3 linked regions of the Lytechinus pictus genome follow. The protein of the gene in region 3 interacts with the protein of the main gene of each other region in a pairwise test. Links are inferred from orthologs where the notes say so. Each region holds a gene or a part of one and is shown on either strand. Other genes may lie near its edges.

The links.
Region 1: the proteins of SUMO-conjugating enzyme UBC9-B-like (region 3) and double-stranded RNA-specific editase 1-like interact in a two-hybrid assay, tested with the Homo sapiens proteins (2 studies listed by BioGRID and IntAct). The link is inferred for Lytechinus pictus from reciprocal best matches to the Homo sapiens genes UBE2I and ADARB1.
Region 2: the proteins of SUMO-conjugating enzyme UBC9-B-like (region 3) and E3 SUMO-protein ligase ZBED1-like interact in a two-hybrid assay, tested with the Homo sapiens proteins (4 studies listed by BioGRID and IntAct). The link is inferred for Lytechinus pictus from reciprocal best matches to the Homo sapiens genes UBE2I and ZBED1.

The regions. Positions count from the first base shown.
Region 1 is NC_087247.1:52,518,923-52,522,679, forward strand, and holds the start of double-stranded RNA-specific editase 1-like, read right to left. Parts: upstream 2,468-3,757; 5' UTR 2,226-2,467; intron 1-2,225. UniProt on the Homo sapiens protein: Catalyzes the hydrolytic deamination of adenosine to inosine in double-stranded RNA (dsRNA) referred to as A-to-I RNA editing.
Region 2 is NC_087249.1:51,618,476-51,622,232, forward strand, and holds the start of E3 SUMO-protein ligase ZBED1-like, read right to left. Parts: upstream 2,233-3,757; coding exon 1,252-2,232; intron 794-1,251; coding exon 1-793.
Region 3 is NC_087254.1:20,340,679-20,344,435, forward strand, and holds the start of SUMO-conjugating enzyme UBC9-B-like, read left to right. Parts: upstream 1-934; 5' UTR 935-1,276; intron 1,277-3,757. UniProt on the Homo sapiens protein: Accepts the ubiquitin-like proteins SUMO1, SUMO2, SUMO3, SUMO4 and SUMO1P1/SUMO5 from the UBLE1A-UBLE1B E1 complex and catalyzes their covalent attachment to other proteins with the help of an E3 ligase such as RANBP2, CBX4 and ZNF451.

The sequences.
Region 1 (3,757 bases), on a different chromosome or scaffold from region 3:
AACATGACTACATGGATTTTGAACTCTTGAAAAATATATTCTTTTAAGTACAATAATGTTCAAGAATTGGGTATCCTCTTTATAAGTTGTGGTACAAAAAGTTGCATAAACTGAATTTAAAAAAAATTCTCATATTGTCTACATTCCGTGAAAAGCATGCAAGACTTTGTTTTTTGATACATGTATTCCACTCATGTTACCTGGTCATTGTTATAAAATAATTTAAATGATCACAAACCCGTATTAACCAACTATGACAGAATATGCAACACACAAATTCCAAACTTTATACACATGTATATTTGCATGAATCTAGGGGTGCGTTTATCCGCCACTTTTTTACCCTAGAATCATGATTTGAATCATGATTTGAATCATGATTCAAATCATGATTCTGCAGAATCACGATTGCGTTTAGGGTGCGTTTATCCGCCACTTTTTCACCCTAGAATCATGATTCAAATCACGATTCTGCAGAATCACGATTGCGTTTAGTCGAAATTGAATATAATCATGATTAGAATCACAAACATGAACTACGAAAAAAGGGGCGTTTGGAAAGACGTTTCTACAGAATCACGTATGAAAATGTTCGAATAAACGATATCGTGATTTGAATCATGATTATATGACCTCACTGTGTCGGGCTACTTTCGGTTTGACTCTTGCCAAGCTCAAGGCTCTCTATATGCTCATTGTATGTACATGGTTACTCTGCATGCATTTCTTGTCATGTTCAAGTTCTGTGTTGGTCATCGCATCGTCCACTACTTTTCATTTTTTGGTCATGTCTTCAACTTCAAGTTCTAGTGAATGAATTAACTGGACAGACAATGATCTCAGTTGTTGTTGAGTATAGAGTGTTAATATTAAATTGGATCTACGCTGAAATTCACTTCCGAACACCATTTTGGATAAACTAACAAGATGAATAGAAGCATATGGACCCTATAGAAGTAAACAAAATTAGGTATAGACTGAATTCTGGAAGCAAAAGATTTTTCGAGAGCCGAAACACGTGCGAAAAACTTCCTCTGTCAAACTGCGCACTAGTGATGCGCACTGGATTGGCCCGAATCTGAGGAGAAACAGCATTGTAATGAAGGTCGTCTAAACGCTGATTCTGTGACATCGTGATTCATGTTTGTGTTTTGAATCATGATTCAAATCATGATTCAAATCATGATTCTGGCTTGAGGTCGCATAAACGCAGCCTTAGTCAAAATTGAATATAATCATGATTAAAATCACAAACATGAAACACGAAAAAAGGGGCGTTTGGAAAGACGTTTCTGCAGAATCACGTACGAAAATGTTCGAATAAACGATATCGTGATTACAATCATGATTATATGACCTCACTGTTGTGTCGGGCTCCTTTCGGTTTGACTCTTGCCAAGCTCATGGCGCTCTATATGCTCATTGTATGTACATGACTATGTACTATGAATTCATTTCTTGTCATGTTCAAGTTCTGTGTTGGTCATCGCATCGTCCACTACTTTTCATTTTTTGGTCATGTCTTCAACTTCAAGTTCTAGTAAATGAATTAACTGGACAGACAATGATCTCAGTTGTTGTTGAGTATACAGTATCAATATCAAATTGGATCTACGCTGAAATTCACTTCCGAACACCATTTTGGATAAAGCATATGGACCCTTTATGATAGAAGTAAACAAAATGAGGTATAGACTGAATTCTGATGGAAGCAAAATAATTTTCGAGAGCCGAAACACGTGCGAAAAACTTCCTCTGTCAAACTGCGCACTAGTGATGCGCACTGGATTGGCCCGAATCTGAGGAGAAACAGCATTGGAATGAAGGTCGTCTAAACGCTGATTCTGTGATATTGTGATTCATGTTTGTGTTTTGAATCATGATTCAAATCATGATTCAAATAACCAATATTGTTCAAACAAATTTCACCTTTGTTTAAAATTAGGACCTAATATACACTGAATGTAGCATAGTCATTTTCATTTAGGCGCAGCAAACTTATTATCGGTTGCGGGTCGCCGCGCCTCGGACGAAATCCCACCGTCCGGGACGATTCGGTTATTCAGCGAGCTCCTTTTTCTCCTAGCGCGCCCCGGACGCGGCGCACCGCTATTCATCCCGCCGCGCCCGGGACGACAGATCCAAGAGCTCTGCAATATCAGCCGTAGCCTTATACGAGATTCATCCCGCCGCGGGTGGGACGAAATTACGTCACAGCTACCTACCTCGATATCGGGCGAAGTTCGTGCAGAATATGTAGACTCGGTTACGTTAGACTTGTACCTAATTATGTATTCATATTTTCTATTTTTAGATGATAGGTTGAGCGCGTATAAGTAAATCGAGCAGCACATGCACACACGTGCCACATGCACAAACATACACAATACACACATGCACAGTTTCCTGATGCGATAGCCGCGCCGCGATCTGGTATTATATTACAGTACACGTACAGAAGGCAGATGGAGGGTAGCCGGGGTTTATAGGGGAGGGAAGCAGCTAGGCCGCGCTTCCTGGGCTTAGATGGGATAGGGGGGGGGGGGGAGCAGTTGGGATGGGAGGGTGTTTTACTTCTAATACTCATTCAGTTCAATTACGTCGTTATAATTTTTTTTTGGTGGGCTGCCGTAATTAACTTTTGCTATAGTCATGATAGTGGTATAAAACTGAGTGATAATACGTCAAGTTTATCTTTTCTTTATTCAAATTGACGCCTGTTTTGTGTGTACTTTTATTTCTAACGTTAAAAGGATATCTGGATTTTGCGAACAATCTTCATGTTCTGTTTTTGAGCAAAGCTAGTGGGAATATCATCATAAGCAGAGAATATGATTGATATGCAGAATACAATATTATTTTCATAACTTTATAATTCATGATTTAAAAAATATAAACGAGAGGTAATGGTAGTGGTGGTAATGAAGATGGAGCAAAAATATTCTGAGCTCCAGTCCAGGGACACCATTTCATACATTGTTTGGTAGACAAAATGCTATTAGGCCTAGGTAATGGGTCGAGACTGTACTGACCAACTAGATTGGTTTTAGACCAATTAAGAATTTAATCGTATATGATTATAAAAATCATATGCATTTTCCCTTTTCCCTCTTTCGATCCCCGGTTTCGACATCCCTCCCTCGAAAATAAAGAAACAATATGGGAGGGTGTTTTACTTCTAATTCTCATTCAGTTCAATTGCGCCTTTATCATTTTTTTGTTATATTTGTATTTTTTTTGTCTACAGACTATAAGTATTTACTTTGTTCTAGATGATTTGAATGTTATATTCTGTATTTTTTGGTACAATTTTGTGTATTATGAATAATTACTTTGTGAACAATGTTTTGTTGATGTACTATTACTTGTATGATTCTGAACTGAATGATTTTGATAAATACTATTACAAAACAACACAAATATTTAAAAAATGTATGATAAAAGATTCACAGATTTGCACGCAAATGTACAATTTATATGACAAGTTCCCTCAATTGCATCAGGTAATCAATGGACTGAAGTAGTCGCTTTAAAGACTGCTGTTTTTTTTTCTTTAACAAACTGCCAGGTCTCGTGATTTTTTTTTATTCGTGAATGAAAATGAAACACTAAAACTATTGCGTTGTTCCTCATTTAATTTGCCTCAGTCATCCACCCGGTCCCTAGCTCTCTCTTTCCCTCAGTCTCTTTTTACACGTTGGAGTACACCAAGTGGCAATTTCTCTTGAAAACTGCTTCTGGTAAAACCCCAAGCATA
Region 2 (3,757 bases), on a different chromosome or scaffold from region 3:
GTGTCACAATATTCCCTGCTGTGCTAAATACACGCTCGGATGGGCAACTTGTTGCGCAAATGCAAAGATATTTTTTGGCAAATTTTGACAAAGATGGAAACAGCCTTTCATTGAGTTTCCACCAAAGTAGGGGGTCTTGGTCTCCATCTTCGGTATCTTCAGCGAGGTATCGATCGATTTCATTGTTTACCTGCTGTCGGACAGTTAATCGAGGGGTTGCCGCAGTGCTTTTCTTAGCAAGAAGATTTCCGAGGGACATTTTTTTAGGCGGGGGCGGCATTGGTTGGTCATTGTCCCCTGGTGCAGTTTCATCATTGGCGGATACATTAGAAACGAGAGTTACTATTTCATCGATAACTTTGCGTTTTAGTTCATCTCGCTCTTCATCTTCAATGTGATTCATTTTATAACGCGGGTCAATAAACGCTGACTTAGCTAGCATCCATTGCATGCTTTCCCTTTCATACTGACGGAGTATCTTGGTCAGCATGTCCCTTTTCATGGCCATTGTAAGGTCTGGTTCATCTTCTTCATGTTTTAGAGCATCATGTTCAAGGTGATCAAGCATTGGTAGAAGGGATGATGAGGTGACATAGTCCTCTCCAGACAATATGTCAGTAAAAGCAGCGACGGGAGATAGGGCTTTGTCAACTGCTTCCAGGACAGACATGACTCCATAGTTAAGATTGTGTGTTGTCCTTGGGTCTTGTGCAATTACTCGACGAATCGCCGGAGCCTGCTCGATCATTCTACGAATCATCTGATGTTTTGCTCCCCATCTTGTTACACAGTCCTGTCGAAAGAAAAGTGAATAAATAAATAGTAAAAATGTACAGTAGGCCTATATTAATTTTTGTTTTCCTATTTGCTATTAACCCCAATTATCATTCTATGCTTATATTTACAAATCTCGAAGCATTATCATACAGCGAGTAACGTCTCTTCATATTTGTTTTTCATAATTTTCTATAAAAGTGAACTTTGAAACTTTCATTATTTTTGGGTCAAGAATATTGGATACATTTTTGGGGGCAACTGAAAACTTTTTTTCTTCAAAATTCCAATCAGTTGTGGTCTTGTGGACTATCTACCTAATATGGAATTCTACAAATGCAGTGACTGATAATTTGACGAAGGGAGATATAGGTATACGGCCGGAAATACCCTTAATTTAAATTACAAGATGTGAAATTTGCAATGGATATAAAATAAAATATTTTATCTCAGTATGAATAAAGAAGGTTAACTTACCACTATGAGCGAATGCCTTGGAAGATCAAGTTCAGCTTGAGCTCTGGCAAGCTCCCGTCGTTTGTTCCAGCTGTGGGAGAAACTAGCAACAATGTTCTTGCACATCCCAATTGCATGACTTGTTCGGGCTGTGTTATTTTTCAGACAATTGTTTACTGCAAGGTTAAGATTGTGCCCAAAGCAACTTAACCATGGCCACTCCAACTTTTCCATGCAAGACACGATATTTGCGCCATTGTCAGTTGTCATGCACGCTAGTTTGAACTCATCCAAATTCCATTCAGCAAAAGTCTCCTTCAGTGCATCTTTTATATTGTCCGCGGTATGATTTTCTGGGAAAAAAGATGTTGCCAAACATCGGGAGATCAATTTCCACTCCTTGGAGATGAAGTGGATAGTACAACTCATGTAAGGAGCCATGGTTGTACTCGACCACAGGTCCGTTGTTGCAGAAAAATATTCTGCTTCCTCGACCTCTTTCTGAATTTTTGTTCGAACAGAGTTATAAAGAGCCGGGAGAGCAGTCTCTGTAAAATACTTTTTCCCGGGAAGTGTATATCGGGAGTCAAATGCTTGTAGCATTTCTCTAAATGCTGGCTTGTCCACCGTGTACATGGGGAGCATCCCTTTGGCTAGATACTTAGCCCCACAGTCTGTCAAATTTTTCCACCTCCGATCATCGTGACTATATTTTGCTGCCCTAGCTTGAACATCGGCTAGTGTTGGTTGTTGCGACGTCGAGGCGGTGGATGGTGTCCGTTTAGGTTGCCGTAATTCACTTGCCTGCTTTGGGTGTTTGCTTTTAAGATGAGACATCAAGTTTGATGTGTTCCCCCCTTTCGCAGCACAATCACGTCCACAAATTCTACAAGTGGCCTTGTCTGGGTTGATAACTTTCCCATCTTCTCCACACTTGAACCCAAAATGTACCCAAACGGGAGACGTTGCACCCTTTTTCGGTATTAAGTTGAGGTTCTCCATTATGAAATTAAGCGTAAGTATGTGATATCGAGAGCGATGGGTAAGAGTGAGAAAATTATTCGGATGAGCTAAATATATACTGGATCTAACAGGAAAATTACAGGCATGGTCTTTCTTTTTTAATTACACTGTTGTCAGATTTATTTACTAGTACTGGAAAATAAAAAACCACACACTAACTTAAAATTAAGGCGAGGGATTGGCACCTTATGCTTCCATCATTTTGATTTATTTGGTAAAGGAATCAGGAATACAATGTATTTTGCTGTTTCTTTGATGATGTGGGTAATTGGGTTATTTGGGTATTCAGAAAAGATACGTATATCTCCGTCAACTAGCTAGTTTATTTGACCAAAAGGCTGCCCTGATGAATGATAAACCCTCCCTGATTTTATCCAGCGGGGAGTGGGATGCCTTGGTCAAAATCATCAACAGGTCTTTCTATTCTTTATGTCTTGATTTATTGACATTCGTTCTCGATGAAGAGCGACTATAATTATTCTCAGAAAAATAGCGCTATTAGAGACTGCTTTTTACACTCCAAAAACATTGTAACGACTGAGATGTTAAGCACAATTAAGGAAAAGCTCTTCAGCGGTAAAACAGACAAATAATCATTCCAATAGTTTATCTAAATTGTCAGTTTATTCACGACCCCTTCATGCACATACAGCAGTGAAACAGCACCCAACACAACTCACACAATATTCACAGAGAAATTTCTTCCTTTAATTCACAGATCATTCTCAAAATAAATTGCTTGTAAACAATAGAAGGACGGCGTAACACCTTTCCCCGTTCTTTATATTTCTACTTTACTGCCTGCTATATTAGTGCTCCGTCCCTTCTAAAGCGGGACTCACAGTTGACAGTTCCTATCTCGACTTATTAAAAAAAGAAAAAAAAAATTGGAGGTCGAGATTCGGGAATCACAGCCATTCACATTTCTCTTTATGCGCATGAGTCTCGGGGGGGGGGGGGGGGATAATTCATAGTTTTATTGATTAGTAAGCCTAAAAGTAAATTATAAACTTGCCATAATTATATATACATGTAGTCCCAGGTATAAGATTATTTTAAGGAAGTCACACCTGCCGCCCCCCCCCCCCAAAGAAAAAAGGAAGGTTCGGATGTAAACCCATTCGTTGAAACGAGTTGATTATTATTTTGTCCGAAAAAAAAACCTGCGTAAAGAAAAAAAAAAGTCTTAATCCCTGCGGTTTGTCTGTCAACGGCCCAAGGTTGACACTTCGTTGAAACCCGCTTGTTCTTGTTGGTTCGTTCATCAACAACACCACGTGGTCAAGAGACGGGCTAGGGAGTGTTTCATAAAGAGTGTTGGCGGTGATTATTTTTGTTTGTTTACAGAGAGATGTTACAAGCTATAGCGAACCCTCGCATTTGATTGGCGGAATGCAAACCTGTTGTTGAAAACCACTGAAAAACTCTTCATGAAATGCTCCCCCATCTCGAATCGTGCACTGTACTACGCTGTGTACACACGCGCATGCTATGCTACTTGCAT
Region 3 (3,757 bases):
TGTTACTAGGGGGAAAAATGCAACTACAGCAGTCCAAATATGATAGTTTGTGCACATTATTAGTTAATATATTTTTGTTCAATTTATCAATTACTGCACAACCTTCCCTGCCACCCTTGAAGGTTGTGTAATATTTTCATATACAACACACAAAATCTCTAAGGAGAATTTCTACTTTTTATTCTCCTAACCCTCGTCTCCTCCTTCCTCTTCTTGTTCTTGTTCGTCTTCTTCTTCTCCTTCTTTTCTGCAGACCTCACTCCGATCAAGTGGCGCCTGAGGTAATTTTCCGTTTGTCCCCTGCCCCTTTCTTTTCTGCCCTCTTTTGTTTATTCCTCTGATCCTTTCTTATCTTTGCTCTCTACCTTGGCAAGATGTGGCATATTGTGTAAAATTTATGAAAGGCTGTGAGCGACGCGAGCGCAAGCAAAGAATTTGACATTTTTCTTAAAAAAAAAATCAAATTTGATAGATTTTGACATAACTTTCAGAAAATAATATATTTCACCCATCTCTCTTTTTCTTACCTTTTTCTTTTCTTAGTCGTAATTGTTTTTTTTTGTTTAGGGAGGGGGGGGGGGAGAGCCATCTGTACACCCCGGTGTACACCAGTGCTTTTTAATTTTCTCCATTATTTCCCCCTCTCCTTCTTTAGTTACTATTTTTTTCGATTTTTTTTTCTTTCCATTCTTCCTTTTATTAGATTAATTAGATATATTAATGTAAACAAACATTTTTTAAAACAAAATGTATGCGAACATTATATGCATGTAGTTATAACTTCGTATAAATACAATGTAGTAACATATTTCATTTCGTCCTCGCTTCTTCTCCTTCGCCTCCCTCTTCCCAAAATGTCAAAATACTAGTACATGCGAAATAGTGTTCCTGGATTAAAATGCGAAATCAGCTATTGCGCCCTCTTTCGTTAATCAATCTTGGTTTAGTCAAATCACGTGACCTTCGCTCATTTCACGACTTCACGTTCATTTTTTATTTTTCATTTTTGTACGACTATTGCATGTCTGCGCGGTCTAGGCCCTACTCGTATATTGCACGTCTATTTACTGTGCTTTTGCGCTTGCATGCTGCTGTGCGTATTTCGCGATCGTAAACTGAATTTGCGCTTGAGGCCAGGATCTCCGTTGCTTTTGTGAATGAATGAGATCTCATCTTTTTGCCGAGTCGTCGAGATACCCGGATTTCTTTTCATCTCGCCGAATAACAGTTTACATGCCCACGACTTTGTCGTGAATTGCAACCTTTTAACGTTAGGGTGAGTAAATCGTAGTCTATCAACACACATTTGAATGACATTCTGACAAAATGCACTGCACTGCCACTGGCACACACCACAGTGCAGTGCATGCAGAGCAGACTGCACAGCATGCAGCAGTGCCAGCCATAGTCATAGACCAAAACTAAAACAAGCTTCGGTCTCCAGGTCTCTGTTAATTTTGTTATGTTGGTTGTTCAGCTGAACTCCGTTGGCTTCACTCACCAAATACAGAGACCGAAGTTTTAGCGCGATCTGTACAGGGGACTCAATGGCAATATGTTTATGTACTTAAGTCAAGATCGGATAAAACGGGGAAGTGAATTTGCGCGACAGCCGAGGTAAGTCACTGACACTGTTTTTGTTCCTTTTAACTTGATTTTTCTCCGTTTTTTGGCAATTAATGCCAAGAGGGAATATTAATTTGCATTTTGGTCGCGTTAATTTTCAAAATTTTTATTCATTAAAGACAAAAATTGAAGAGCCCCGACGGGGGGATTTTGCATTGCAAGTCCCCTAATCAATGGTGGTGGCTGCACGCTAGCGAGCCGTCTGTGTATGAGGAGAAATTAAAAAAATAAAAAAGTTAAAAAAACTCCTCGAAACCGACGGCTGCCAGCTGTCTATGCCAGCCAGTGCAGTGGCACTGCATCTTTTTTCCTTTTCATTCAAGTTTCATTATCCACTCACACGTATTTAGCCAGGCGGCTTCTAACAAGTTAGAGAGTAAAAATCATTTACTAACGTAAGGTCACTCTCATACGAAGCCAGGGCTTCCGTCATATACTTTTGCGTGTACCACCAGAAAACCTGAAACTTTCGCCCCCGAGATTTCTACTTTCTTTCTAAAAGATCTAGCCCTAAATCATGTATGGTTGGAACTACCCCTTATCGACCACCTAATCTTCTCAGCATCGTATCTGCAAAAATATTCATCAATTTTACCCAGTTTTAGTCCCATTTGTGCAGAAAATTGAGAAGATCAGATTCCCATGTTTCGCTCGGCGACTCCGATTCAATCCGCGTATATATCGACGAACAATGAATACGACGATTTTACATTTGCTCATTTGCACCCGTCTTTTGAAACCGACCACCCGCGATACACTAAGTTTACGGCCGATTCTTGTAAATATTTTTACTCTTCCAAATCAGTTCTATGATGTCAACATGCTAAATGATCGTCTCACTACTTCCGCTGCGAGCTCCGCGCCGGCACATGATTCGACGATTGACGACGGATATTTGTTCTAAAGCCGTTTCCTATCGGATTTCTTGGTTTTTCAGCGGGAATTGGGTCTGGTCAATACAATTTTGATTAATTCTACTAAATTTTTACTTTTTGTTGCTTCTTTTTTTCTCGTAAAATCGATTCTTACCGTTTCTATGGACACTGCGCCTACTCTCCCGCGCGTATCGTTTGTAATACGCAATAATTTTATCGCGCGCAAGGTGGTCGGTTTCAAAAGAGGTGGTCGATATGTGGTAGTCTCACCATACATGGGATACAACTTCATTTCTACGCTATGGATTTTATTTTTAGACAAGAATTCATCAAAAAAAAATGAGAAAAATATCATGAATAGACGGAAGAGACTTGCCCGATGTTTACGCCGCCATCTTGTTTTCTATTTATTGTTCTTCACCCATGATACGGACGCTTGCGTCGCGTAACGTTGGGGAAGAACAATAGAAAACAAGATCATGAAGATGGCGGCGTAAACATCGGGCAAGTCTCTTCCGTCTATTCATGATATTTTTCTCATTTTTTTTGGATGAATTCTTGTCTAAAAATAAAATCCATAGCGTAGAAATGTCGGAAATGAAGTTGTATCCCATGTACATGATTTAGGGCTAGATCTTTTAGAAAGAAAGTAGAAATCTCGGGGGCGAAAGTTTCAGGGTTTTTGGTGGTACACGCAAAAGTATATGACGGAAGCCCTGGCTTCGTATGAGAGTGACCTAACGTTAGTAAATGATTTTTACTCTCTAGAAGCCGCCTGGCTACACGTATTGCGGGGTTTTTTTTTTTACTATACTAATACTAACCTTGCACAACCAACGCAATGGTTTTTTGAGTTGTCCTTTAGACTTTTTAGTGCTTTAGCCTTTACCTTTACCCGAGTCGAGATTCTGGAAGAATGCTGATGATCCCAGGCCCAGCACAGCAGTCGTGCTTCCACTGAAGTTCCAATTCAAGTCCTTCATCCTTCTTGTTAGTTAGGTATCTTCATAGGCTAGCAGTCTAGCTTGGAAATCTACACCGTCCTCGACATTAGTATGGTTTATTCATCATAGGGTGAGCAGTACCGCTGGTCAGCCCACACCTTGTCTAGCCTTATTTTAAAACTGTTCACCGTCTGAGCTGTGAGTGTGAGTGTGACAACCTCTTGGGGCAGCGAATTCCAGTCATTTATGACACGCTGGCTGAACAGTAGAGGCGCACGGCCAATATTGGAGACTGTCTCCAATGTGGGAGAT